2 linked regions of the Cricetulus griseus genome follow. The protein of the gene in region 2 purifies or fractionates together with the protein of the main gene of each other region. This does not show direct contact. Links are inferred from orthologs where the notes say so. Each region holds a gene or a part of one and is shown on either strand. Other genes may lie near its edges.

Region 1 (6,603 bases), on a different chromosome or scaffold from region 2:
TCATGCTCGATAAACACTGTCACTGAACAACAGCTCCAGTCTTAGATTTTCAGAGACAGACCTCATTATGTAGCCCAGGCTGTCCTCAAAGAATCTTGTTTTGGGCTTCTGAAGAATGCTGGGCTTACAGGAGTGTGTCATGACCCCAGCTCCATGATTTCCTTTAAAGTTTATGGTGTGCCCTTAACTAGACAGCTTTTGCCTTTCTTGTATTTAGTCTGAGACATCTGGCTGATTGTTATCTTTATAAACAGACTGGAAATGGGACATTTTTGTCATTTCCCAAATATAGGGTTAACATGACAGTAACCCCCTTCTCAAACCAGAGTCAGTGTATTTTGAAGAAAAATAAGATTGAAAAACTTCTAGGGCGCCTGGTGAATAGGGCATTGATTTCCAGCTTGGTCATGGTCTTTGTTGTTGTTTGTTTATTTGTTTGTTTGTTTTGGCTTTGGCCAGAGAGGAAGTTAGAGAAGGGAACTCAGTACACTGCTGGCTGAACACCAAACCTGCACAGCCAGCTCTCTTGGGCTACACTCAAGGTAGCGGGTGAATCTGACGAGGTTGTGCTTTGCTAAATTGCTGTAGTTAAAATGGATGTGGTGGCGCTGAGGCCTGAGGAGCGAGAATTTGAGGTCAGCCCAAACTACACAGCAAGACTTTTGTCTGAAAAAACAAACATAAAAATGGTAAGTGGGGGGGCTGGAGAGATGGCTCAGTGGTTAAGAGCACTGACTGCTCTTCCAACGGACCGTCAATTCCCAGCACCCATATGATATGGCAGGTCACAACTGTCTGTAACTCCAGTTCCAGGGGATCTGACACTCTCGATACATGCAGGCAAAATACCAATGTACACAATATAAATAAATATTTTAAAAAATGGGAAAGGGGGTTTTACATTAAGAAAATTGGTGGGCAATTAGGTACAAGGATTGAACTCCACTGTGTCTTTTTTGAAGTGCTGAGGATGGAACCTAGGGCCTTAGACGTGCTTAGTCTTTACCACTGAGCGGCTCCAGTCTCCCATTCCACTAAAAAAGCAAAACACGCCCCCACCCGGGGCGGGGGCCGAGATGGCTCAGCTGGTAAAGGCACCCGCAGAGGCCTGACCCTGAGTTCTACCTGACCACCGCAGTTCCAGCCCTATACACATAAGAGAGTGGAATAAGAGAGTTGTTCTCTGACCTCCACACATAGGCTGGAGAGGGTACATGCATAACATAGGCACACACAAGCAATAAAAATATGATTGCAAATGTGTAAGAGATATGTAGGTAAGCATACACACTGGGCAGGAGTTGGTATCACAAACACCTTTGTTCTCGTTGATAAGTAAGAAATATACCGGAAAGTATCTATACCACCCCTCAGCTCAGTCTGTCTTACTAGGTAGTTCAGGCTGGTCTGGAACTCACAGTCCTCTAATTTGTTGTCCTGCCTCCAGAGCTCTGGGATTGCAGGCATGCGTTACCACCCCAGCTGAGCCTCTATCTTCATGCATGTTCACAAAACACCCATACCCGAGACTAATCAGAATCCAAATCAGCACGCGCGGGACGTGAGCAGCATGCCCGGAGTTATGCTTATTTAATTATACCAACGTTTTGAAGTAGATCATATCATTATTCCCATTTTACACGTGAGGGGACAGAAGGCCAGAGAGGTCGGAAGGCTAAGTACTGTTCAAACCACCTCTTGAACATGAACTTGCTGTCTCCGATTCAAAGCCCAGGCTCTAGGAAAGAAACAAACTCTCAAAGTTTAGAACACGAGACAGCTCAGAGGGCTTCTCCTCGTACGGAAACTTCCCACCCTGGGGGCAACTGGAACCACAGGAAACCTGGTGTGCGCGCCTCTGCCGGGCCTGCGCGCTCCTGACCTCAGCGAAGTCGCCCAGCCAGCCCCGCGGCCCGCTGCGCGGCCTCCCGACACACGAGGGCGCTGTCGCAGCCCGGTGGGAGCGAGCCGCTGACTCGTGTCGCGAGATTGAGAAAGCCGGAAGGGCGAAAGAGCAAGGGTCACGTAGACAGCGCTCCCCGCCCAGCTCGCGTAAGTTCTCGCGCGGGTACTACTTCCGCCCTTTTGGCTCTCTCAGCAGCACCATGGCGGTCGGCAAGAATAAGCGCCTGACGAAAGGCGGCAAGAAGGGCGCCAAGAAGAAAGTGTAAGTGGCGCATTTTGCGGATCCCCGCTCTTTGGGTCCCACAGGAGTTGGCGGGCTGGTTCTGGGCTGCAGCGTGGGGCGGATGGTGAGGATGCGGGGCGGATTGCGCGGCGACGCCGCTGGCCGGTGCGCTCCAGACGGCCGCCTCTTCCCCGGCCGGGCCGGGCGTCGCGCCCGCGTGTGAGCCGGGCTTTCGTCACGTGTAGCGATCTGTGGGCTCTGGGTGACTTAATGGTCCTGGGCACTTTTAATGTCCCTTCTACATCTGGGCTCGGCAGTCGCTGGCTCCTGCGCTGGGGCCTCGTGGACCCTGCCTGGGAGCTCCCGACACTTGCTGACCGGTCCGTGCTGTCACGGAATAGTTAATGTCACAGGACCTCCAGGTTCCGAGATAGTCTGAAATGCCGCCTGTGGGGTGGAGGAGCGGGAAAGGCATGGTTTCCAGCTTACCGGTTTGTCCTGTTGACAGGCACGCCGGCCTTAGGCTCATCACGGTGAGGGGCGTCATTTTGTATTAAAGACAAGCCGGTTTAAGATTTTTTTTTTGCCGGGGACATTGTCAGCGGAAGTAAGGACGAGGAAAGTTTAAGAGTTGGCAGTGGCAGTCTTGGGATTTATTACAAAGAAGCTTGAGTCTGTTTCTCTCAAATCTAGGGTTGATCCATTTTCGAAGAAAGACTGGTATGACGTGAAAGCGCCTGCGATGTTCAATATTAGAAACATTGGGAAAACACTAGTCACGAGGACTCAAGGAACCAGTGAGTACCAATACTTGTTTTGCTTTGTCCTTAAGCTGTTGCGTGTGTATTTTAACAGGCACCTGGGCCTGCTATTTTTTTTTGTTCTGTGATGGGAAAATCTGCCCAGTGCTTGCAGATTTGGCATTTGCGGTGTGTTTGTAGCAGCAAGGAGGTGTTTTTAGAGTTAGCCAAGAAAATGTTTGGTTGGGTATTGCTGGTAAGTCATTGATGTCCAAGTGGGTTTTTGAAACAATTTAATGGGTTCTTTGGTTCTTTCGTAGAAATTGCATCTGATGGCCTCAAGGGTCGTGTGTTTGAAGTGAGCCTTGCTGATCTGCAGAATGACGAAGTTGCATTTAGAAAATTCAAGCTAATTACTGAGGATGTTCAGGGCAAAAACTGTCTGACTAACTTCCATGGCATGGATCTTACCCGGGACAAGATGTGCTCCATGGTCAAAAAGTGGCAGGTGAGACCCCCCAGACTGCATTTGAGCATGTGCAAAGATGTCATGGTGCCGGGATGGGAAGGATCAAAACATGAAATGGAGTTAGATTTTATTTCAACCCTTTGTTTTCTTGGTGTTACACATTGCCGTAAGGTTTATATACATCGGTAAAACATGACATGAAAATTGTTTTCACTTGAAGAGTGAACAATTTTATTTTCCCACTGTGTTTATATATTGTTTAGCTAGCTTCTAGAGATAAAACTGCAATCAGTTTGGTCTTTCACCCACTTCTCTGAGTTCCTTCTGAACTCCCCTGCCCTCATGGATGACAAAGTTTTAACGTGTGGCCAAGGTGCTGTTTATTCTTTGGTGCTAGAGGTAGAACCCACCGGTTTCCACATGGGCTGTCACTCTTAAACTGAGCTGTAGCCTCTTGCCAAGTGTTTTACTGATAGAAGGACGATAGGCAAGGCGGGCAGCTTTGCCAGTTGAGAGTATATTTATGGTGAAAAGGTGGCTCTAACTAATTTGACTGTCTCTGACAGTGGTGTATAACAGTGACAGGACATTGTTGTGGGGCTAAAGTCATTCAGTCTCCATATTTTGTCTTTGGAAAGTAACAAGCTTAGCAGCTCGATTCTTCATTTGTAAAATCAGCTCGTTGAGTTGTGAAGATGAAATAGCTGATGCAGGTAATTGAGCTTCAGCACAGGGTAACCATGTCATTTCAGGAGATATTATTCCGATGTATCCAGGTAACAGTATTGGCATATTACAATATGGGAATGAATGATGACAAAATGTTTCGGTCCCAAATGAAACATCCTGATTTTACCGTTACATGTTTTTCTGACATTCCCTTACAGATTATGCAATTCTGGAAGTAAAAAGTTGTTTAATACATGCAATAAATAACTTTTGCAGTGGAAGTCAAGTTTTTTTTTTTTTTTTTTTTTTTTTGGAGGCAGGGTCTTACTAGGCTGCCCAGGCTGGCCTCAAACTCACAAAGATCCACCTGTTTCTGCCCCCCTGAGTGCTACAACTGAAGATGTGTGCCACCACTCATGGCAGATACTGGGTATATTTTAAAAGTCAAGGTACATAATTTATAAAATGCAAAGAGATTAAATCATTTTGCCACTAAAATGGCCCTTTAAAAGATGGAAATGTGGCCCAATTATGGTTTTTATTTAGATTTATCTGTAGGGTTATATATTTAAATCCTTGGCATGGCTTTAGTTTGGATTTAAAGGGATTTAAAATGCTCTTATGGCAGAACTTTTTTCCTTTGGAGAAAGGATCCCTAGCCTCTTAGGTATGGTGCTTGCTATGTAGACCAAGCTGGCCTTGAACTTGTGATTTGCCTTTGTATTCTAAGCAAAGGAATTGTAGATAACGTGTCATTGTGTTACTGGAGTTTTTATTTCTTCAGACTGGCATGGAACTTGTTATGTAGACCATGATGGACTCAAACTCTTTATTAGAGATCCAACTTCTTCTGCCTCCTGCTTAGTGCTGGGATTAAAGCTACCACACACAACCTGTATTTTCTTTTTAAGAGATGAAAACATTCATGTGGTCTTATCCTGTGTGTGGTCTTCTAGTGTAACTTTCAAATTTCCATTTGGGGCCAGGGTGACTGTTGATAGGTACACTAGTAAAGGGTGTGGGTTCCAGTTGAGATGGCAGTGATGGTTTAGAAGATGGTAAGAATCTCATTTCATTTTAAGAAAAATGTGAACTAGACATTCATATTTTATGTCACATAATGGGTTTGACATTCCAAGCTTTTTTTATGTTGATTGAGGCCCTAAAAGCTATTGCAAAAGCTGATGGAGGTGGTGTGCACAGGCAGGGGAGGATAGCCAAAGCTAGGGTGAGACCCTGTCTCAGAAAAACAAACTATTGGATCTTACAGTATCATTTTCTCCCTAGACTATGATTGAAGCCCATGTGGATGTCAAGACGACTGATGGTTATTTGCTCCGTCTGTTCTGTGTTGGTTTTACTAAAAAACGCAACAACCAGATACGCAAGACCTCCTATGCACAGCACCAGCAGGTCCGCCAGATCCGCAAGAAGATGATGGAAATCATGACCCGAGAAGTACAGACAAATGACTTGAAGGAAGTGGTTAATAAGTTGTAAGTGGGTTTTATTTTTCATCCTTTAAAATTGCTGGGTTTTGGCTGAAGCTCTATTAGCGGTGGATAGTGAAACTTAGGTGTTAACTTAGAAGATATACAATAATGTATGGGAATACATGATGAGAAAATGTTTCGGTCCCAGTTGATGTATGCTGATAAGGAAACATTTTTCTGATGTTCCCATGTGGAATACAAATGAGGATGCTATGCAAATAAGGAAGACTTAGATGTTAGATATTATGGCCATCTTTAAATAGGATGACTTTAATTAAGCTGCTTTTTTTCCATGTAAAGTACTTATGTGAAAAACTTGCCTTGGTTGGTTTCTTGTTTGCTTGGTTGCTTTTTAAAAGTTTGCTGGTCTTGCAGGATTCCAGACAGCATTGGGAAAGACATAGAAAAGGCTTGCCAGTCCATTTATCCTCTTCATGATGTCTTCGTTAGAAAAGTAAAAATGCTGAAGAAACCCAAGTTTGAATGTAAGTGAGAAATCAGGATTCATGGGATGAAAATTTGTGGGGCCAAATACATGATTGTTTTTTAATGACTGATTTGTAGTAATTTGCCCGTGTGTATGTATAGGCACCATGCATATTGGCGATCTTGATCTTCTGAAGAGGCTTCAGTTCCGCTGGGACTGGAGTTAACAGGTGGTTGCAAGCTGGGTTCTAGCTCTTCTGCCAAGAACAAGTGATCTTAACCACTGAGCTACCTCTTTAGTAATTTTTTGTTTGTTTTGTTTTTGAGACAGTTTCACTGTGTAGCCTTGGCTTGCTTGGAAGTCACAGATCCATCTGTCTGCCTCCCTAGTGTTGGGATTAAAGCTGTGCCCCACCATGGCCTGGAATTAGTGTAAATTTTTAAGTGTAAGATAATGGTCTGGCCAGACGTTTGTGGCTCATGCCTTTAATCCCAGCACTTGGGAGGCAGAGGCGGGCGGATCTCTGAGTTCGAGGCCAGTCAAGTTCCAGGACAGCCTCCAAAGCCACAGAGAAACCCTGTCTCAAAAAAAAAAAAAAAGACAATGGTCTGTTGCTTTGTTTGTATAGAATGAAAGAGCATTGTTTTAAGTTGTGGTACTTGTTTATAACAGGTTTT
Region 2 (6,848 bases):
AAAAAAAAAAAAAAGAAAGAAAGAAAGAAAGAGTGGATCCTTTTCCTGCACATGTAAAATTGTATTTCACATTCATTACTGACACCAACACTGTTCTAAGAATAGTTGTTATAAATAAATCTGGTCTTATTAGCCATATAAACTTTCTTAGTTTGGTGGGGTTTTGTAGCTATGTAGCCCTGGATGGCTTCAAACTTACTGAGATCTGTTGGCCTCTGCCTCCTGAGTACTGGGATTAAATGTGTCCAAGACCACATCCAGCTGCAATTTAATGTTTCACTGAGTTAGATGGAGATTGTTTACATGTCACTGACATTTAAAAATTAAGTATCTGCCTGGTGGTGATGGCCCACGCCTTTGATCCCAGTACTCAAGGAGGCAGAGGCAGACAGATTTCTTAGAGTAAATATCTGAGAGTACATAGAACCACATTAATAAAATTGTATGCTTCCTAATTAAGGAACTAATAATCTAGTTTATGAACTTGTACCCCCTATAGTTATCTTCCATTTTTGAACCAGAGTTTTATTTTATTTTATTTTATTTTTTGGTTTTTTGAGACAGGGTTTCTCTGTGGCTTTGGAGGCTGACCTGGAACTAACTCTTGTAGACCAGGCTGGTTTCAACTCACAGAGATCCACCTGACTCCGTCTCCAGAGTGTTGGGACTAAAGGTGTGTGCCACCACCACCTGGCTTGAACCAGAGTTTTAAATTCTAGCTTGTGGTTTATTTATAAGCTTAAGAGACATTAATTTTTGCCGGGCAGTGGTGGCACACGCCTTTAATCCCAGCACTCTGGAAGCAGAGGCAGGCGGAGCTCTGTGAGTTCGAGACCAGCATGGTCTACAAGAGCTAGTTCCAGGACAGGCTCCAAAGCCACAGTGAAACCCTGTCTGGAAAAAAACAAAACAAAAAGACATTAAATTTGAGGGCTGCTCCACCACCTCCACTAACTGAGAATTACCAGACTGTACTAGTTCATTGATTTCCACAGATACTAATTCCTATTGGCTCATGACTCAGGAGTAAGATAAAATGCTTTTTAAAATGATTTCATCAGGGTGTGGTGGTGAATACCTTTAATCCCAGGAGGAAAAGGCTGGAGGATCTTAGCCTGATCTATATATTGAGCTCTAGGACAGCCGGGGCTAATTAGAGACTCTGTCTCAAGAAGAAAAAAAAAAAAAAAAAAACAAAAACAAAACTAATCAACCAAAGGAATCATTTTATTAACAGGTTAAGTTATATTAGCCAAATAGGATAAACTTCATTTCTATGCTTTCAAGTTTCAGATGCACAGAAAGAAGACAGGGCCAACCATAGCTTTACTGCCAGAGTACTTGGTTTTGTAGAAACAGGGTCTCAGGTAGCCCAGATTAGCTTTAAATTCTTTATGTAGCCAAAGATGACACACACACACACACAACCTTTTTGGTTTTTTGAGACAAGGCATCTTTATTTAGCCTTGGCTGTCCTGGAAATAGCTCTGTACACCAGGATATTTGGAGCTGGGAGATCTGCCTGCCTCTGCCTCCCTGGTGCTAGGATTAAAGGTGTGTGCCACCACTGCCTGGCTGACTGAATTCTTGATCTTCTTGCCTGCATCTCCCAAGGGTTGTAATTATAGACCTGTATAAACACACCTATTAGGCACAATCTACACAGAATGGCCCGTGCAGAAAATAAATTCTATTTCTACCTAAAAGTTTCAAGAACATAACATGTTTTTAATTACAGAGAAAAATAGCAACAATTTTTTGTTTGTTTGTTTGAGATGGGGTCTGTCTGACTATACAGCCCAAGGCGGCCTGGACTTTACTATGTAGCCCTGGCTGGCTTTCAACTCTTGATACTTCTGCCTCAGTCTGCCAAGAGATAGGACTGCAAGTGTGTAGACAACTCAGTGTGTGTCTGAAAAAACGGGGAGAATCAAAGTGCATTAAAATTTAGCTGGATGTCCCTCTCATGGTTAACTAAGGGAAGTCCTTCCTGCAAGAGGCCTGTCTTTACAGTGAGTCTAGGGGAATCTTCCATGCAATTCTAGGGGTTACTCAAGGGTCACTAGTAAAGACGGTGAGAAGTGCACAAGGCCCACACTGCATGCCGTGCGGCACGGAGCGGTAGGGCAAGCCTGCGCCTCCCCAGGCCTTGCACCACCGGGTATGGAAGAGACAAAAGAAACGCTGGGGCCTCGCCCTTGCGGAACTTAAAAAGTCCGATCGGCAAGGCAGGGCTTGTAAAAAATTAAACTGCAATGAAGTGGAGGAAGAAAAAAACAAAACACAAAACAAAAAACCACCTCTGTCTAACAGCCGCTTATTTGTGCTCTGCGGAGCAGCAGCGGAAACTTGGCGGAGTCTTAAAGCGAGAGCCGGAGGGACAGACAAAAAAAAAGACAAACTAAGATGGAAGAAAGGAGGGTGTCCTCCAGCGGGAAATGCCAGATGAGGACGCAGGGCGGGTGCAGGGGAGCCTCCTCCGGGCCCACGGAGGCGGACGGCCCGTGGAGCGCGGCCGCCGAGAAGCCGGAAAGGCCGGCGGCCGCCGCGGCCAGTCGGTTTAACCGAAAGGCGGCTTCCTGAGCCTCCATTTGCGCGCCGGGGCCCAGCGCCGAGGTCGCCCCGTGGGGGCGGGGCGGGGAAGGGGCGGGGCCTGCGCGCGCAGCCGCCCTAGCGAGCCCCGCCCCGGCAGGGGGCGGGGCGCCTATATTACGTGCGCGGCGCCGCCCCGGCGAGAGGACGTTGCGTGCTCGCTCGCGCCAGGCGAGTCTCCGCGTCTTGCCTCGCGAACTCGGTGAAAGGAATTGGCGCCGTTCGACACCAGGCGGGTCCGCTCTGCAGCACTCAGCCATCTCCAGCCGCAGCCGCCGCCCGGGCCGACCAGCAGCCGCCGCCACAGGCCGAGGGAGCCAGCAGTCCGCGGTGAACCGGGGCCCTCACCATGAGTTCTTCGCCTGTTAATGTCAAGAAGCTGAAGGTGTCGGAGCTGAAGGAGGAGCTCAAGAAGCGGCGCCTCTCCGACAAGGGCCTCAAGGCCGATCTCATGGATCGACTCCAGGCCGCGCTGGACAACGAGGCCGGCGGCCGCCCCGCCATGGAGCCCGGGAACGGCAGCCTCGACCTGGGCGGCGATGCGGCCGGGCGCTCGGGGACGGGCCTCGAGCAGGAGGCCGCGACCGGCGCCGAAGACGACGAGGAGGAGGAAGGCATCGCCGCCCTGGACGGCGACCAGATGGAGCTGGGCGAGGAGAACGGGGCGGCGGGGGCGGCTGACGCGGGCGCGATGGAGGAGGAGGAGGCGGCGTCGGAAGACGAGAACGGCGACGACCAGGGCTTCCAGGAGGGGGAGGACGAGCTCGGCGACGAGGAGGAGGGCGCGGGCGACGAGAACGGCCACGGGGAGCAGCAGTCCCAACCGCCGGCGGCGGCCCCGCAGACCCCGCAGCAGCGCGGGGCCGGCAAGGAGGCCGCGGGCAAGAGCAGCGGCCCCACCTCGCTCTTCGCGGTGACGGTGGCGCCGCCCGGGGCGAGGCAGGGCCAGCCGCAGGCCGGAGGTAGGAAGGCGGAAGGCGGCGGGTGAGGGCTGCGTGGTGGGCGGGCGGGCGCGCGGCTTGTAGGCCCGCGTGGGGACCGTGCCCCAGGCCGGCCGGGGCCCCAGGGGCGAGCGACGCGGGCGGGCGGGGGGGGCGGGGGAGCCCCGGGGCCGCCGAGAGGATGGGCTCGCCATGCCGGCGGCGCCTCCTCCATTATGTGTGTCGGGCGCCGGGGGGAGCTGCAGCTGCCGCGGTGGGGGAGGAGCCGGGCGGGAGCGGCGGCCGCTGGAGCGCTGCGTGCGCGCGGTTCGGGCACATGTCTGGGGGGAGGGGGAAGGTCCCGGGGCGGGCGGGCTTTGGCGGCTCAGCGCCGCGGTATTGTGCAAGGAGCGCAGGGGCTCGGTGTGACGTCACTTCCGGCGGGAGGCGCCGGGCGCGGGGAGTGAGGCGGAAGCTCAGTACAATGCGGCGGCGGGGCACGCGGGCTCGGATGGGGGAGGGGAGGCGGGCCCACGCTGCCCTGCCCTCCCCCCCACACCCCCCGCCGCCGCCGCGCGCACGGCGCGCAGCACGTGGGCCCGGACGGCGGGCGCGCGGTTTTAGTCCTTAAATGCATTCCGGAAGGTTACCCTAGGCTGGCAGGATTAGCAGCGTCTTTAGACTGCGTCACCGTCTCCAGTGCAGTTCCAGGCTGATGGATACGATTTTTTCTAGATTCATATTAGTTTCGTGGGTTAAAAAGTCTCAGAACTCGCCTGGCGTTGGTGCCATACGCCTTTTTCCCCAGCACTCGGGAGGCAGAGGCAGGCGGATCTCTGTGAGTTCGAGACCAGCCTGGTCTACAAGAGCTAGTTCCAGGACAGCCTCCAAAGCCACACAGAAAAACCCTGTCTGGAAAAACCAAAAATAAAAAAGTCCGAGATCCAGTCTAGGAGGGAAAAAATAACAGCCCCTAAAAGTCCCGGAACAGAAACGGGAGCTTTTCTCTATAATTCAGTCTGTGGCCTGATGATTTAAGGCTGTGTTCTGTGTCGTTATAGGAGACGGTAAAACAGAACAGAAAGGAGGAGATAAAAAGAGAGGTGTTAAAAGACCGCGAGAAGATCATGGCCGAGGATATTTTGAGTACATTGAAGAAAACAAGTACAGCAGGTAGAGGATCCTAACCTAGTTTTATTTGTCACCCAGTTTTTATGCGTGGTTGGGAAAGCTTTATCAGGAGACGATTCTGTCTTTCAGAGCCAAGTCTCCTCAGCCACCTGTTGAAGAAGAAGACGAACACTTCGATGACACAGTGGTTTGTCTTGATACTTGTAAGTGAAGCAAACTTTCCCGCTCTTTTTCTCAAATATTTAAGTGCAGTGCTATTTTGGTTTAACTCTTAGGAAAAGTGTGTTTGTATATCTTAAAGTGGAGAAAACCCGTTAGATTGTTTTAAATCAGGAAGATAATAGCTCATGTTCAGGTTACAGTAGTTTTATGTTTAGCGACACTTCAGTTGTATTGCTGTTTTTACAAGCTCTACTAATTGATACTTATGTCATGGAAGTTCCCAATATTTAGGGATGTAAAACTAATACCGATTTTTGTTCAGCTTTCAGAAACTTGTTTTTAAAACCTGCCTGTAACATGTCCTTAGATAGGTAATATGAAAATTAAAATTTTTCTGTGGAGCTACTATATTAAGTGAGCTATTTGGGCTAGTTGAATACTTACTAACGATTTTCCCATTAGCGCACAAGTACATTCCCTATTCTAAGGATTGTCATATTACCTTTTCAATAACTGCTCTTTTGTTCTCAATTCCAGTTCAGTAGCTGCTGCTCTAACATAAGTTGATTTCTTCCAAAGACCTGGGGCAGCAGCAGTGGGCTATCTGAGCCACTAGCTTTCTTCAGCAGCGAATGGTATCAATGGCAGCGCTGTAAATATGCTACTTTAGAGTATGAGGAAGTATTGCAAGCCATGAAATGGGCTTTAGCTGTCAGATTTGTATTTTGATCCTTTCAAGAAGTTTGTTAGTTTAGTATTTGATAGGGATGTATAATGCTTGGTGTGAGCAGAACAAAAGGTGCTTGAATAAAGAGTTTTAAAGGGTTTCACATGTTAGAAAGGGTTAAAAACTTGTATTCCCTTGTTTACTTATACACATTGTGTTCAGAGTCCTGAGAGTTAAATGTAACTTGGCTGCTTTCTGTCAGTTAAGTCTTGAAGAAAGAGAGGAGAAAACAGCTGATTTGGATTTTTTTTTTTTTCTGAAGTGTAAAAGATTTTGGAATTCACAAGGTGCTTTAGCCGGGATTGAAGAGAATGGTTAGCAGTGCTATTTCAGAAGAATAGTTTAAGATCCAGTCGCCAGGATTACTTGTTTTAAACACAAATTTTAATTCTGTCAGCAGTCAGGAATATTATGAACAAAGCTGGAGAATTTCAAACAGCAGATGCATTTAATAAAAACCAAGAGCCTTATAATTTAATATTCTTTGTCAAGTGAATTCTGAGAAGCTGCATAATGAGGTCTAGTGACCCAAAGATAGCTAGGTTAAAGACTGGATTTGTATAATCCAGGCAGGAGTTAATTCCTAGTGGTTATACCTTACCAGGGTGGTAAAACAGACACATTAACACTTCAGACTGACAGGTTTGTGGGTTGATCTGGCTTACAAGTTTTCAGAAGTGAGTTAAGGTTCTGGAACCCTGGTTTTAGTCTACAAAGTTACAGGATCAGCAGCTCTCAAAATATTTGGTGGTGGCTTCACTTCTGTTATTGTCACTGGTAAATTCTACCTGGTTCTGGCATGCTTCACTTTGATTTCCTGCTGTCCTCTACTGCTTGCCTCTAAATCAAGGTAAAGAGCAGAGCAGGTATGTATTGATATTGCATTGTCTCAGTCATATTACATACTTAAATAACTTCAACGATTGGCAGTTGATGTTTTAGTACATAATTAAGACTGCCTTGGTGGGAGTGGGGCTCCAATGAGAGTTTAGGAACAAGCGCATGATACAAAGACAATTCTCAGCAGTAATAAATACGATTAAAAGCATCTAGATTTTCTCTACTTTGCTGAAATACATTGGGTGTCAAAAATAATTTGGCATTTGATATAATTTCAGATAACTGTGATCTGCATTTTAAAATATCGAGAGACCGCCTCAGTGCTTCTTCCCTTACTATGGAGAGTTTTGCTTTTCTCTGGGCTGGAGGAAGAGCATCTTACGGTGTATCAAAAGGCAAAGTCTGTTTTGAGATGAAGGTAAATGGAATTTTGTGGCTTCTCAGGAGCTTTGTTTTTATTGGTACCAGTCACAGGA

Evidence for each region. Proteins that work in one complex are often made in the same cells at the same time.
Region 1: the proteins of Hnrnpu (region 2) and Rps3a fractionate together in Homo sapiens (co-fractionation; 3 studies listed by BioGRID and IntAct, with this or other methods). This does not show direct contact. The link is inferred for Cricetulus griseus from reciprocal best matches to the Homo sapiens genes HNRNPU and RPS3A.

The regions. Positions count from the first base shown.
Region 1 is NW_023276806.1:68,277,355-68,283,957, forward strand, and holds the start of Rps3a (40S ribosomal protein S3a), read left to right. Parts: upstream 1-2,009; 5' UTR 2,010-2,105; coding exon 2,106-2,167; intron 2,168-2,821; coding exon 2,822-2,925; intron 2,926-3,188; coding exon 3,189-3,376; intron 3,377-4,142; exon of another isoform or gene 4,143-4,215; intron 4,216-5,293; coding exon 5,294-5,502; intron 5,503-5,616; exon of another isoform or gene 5,617-5,684; intron 5,685-5,874; coding exon 5,875-5,984; intron 5,985-6,603.
Region 2 is NC_048598.1:15,816,306-15,823,153, forward strand, and holds the start of Hnrnpu (heterogeneous nuclear ribonucleoprotein U), read left to right. Parts: upstream 1-2,731; 5' UTR 2,732-2,941; coding exon 2,942-3,554; intron 3,555-4,573; coding exon 4,574-4,685; intron 4,686-4,772; coding exon 4,773-4,846; intron 4,847-6,650; coding exon 6,651-6,790; intron 6,791-6,848. UniProt on the Homo sapiens protein: DNA- and RNA-binding protein involved in several cellular processes such as nuclear chromatin organization, telomere-length regulation, transcription, mRNA alternative splicing and stability, Xist-mediated transcriptional silencing and mitotic cell progression.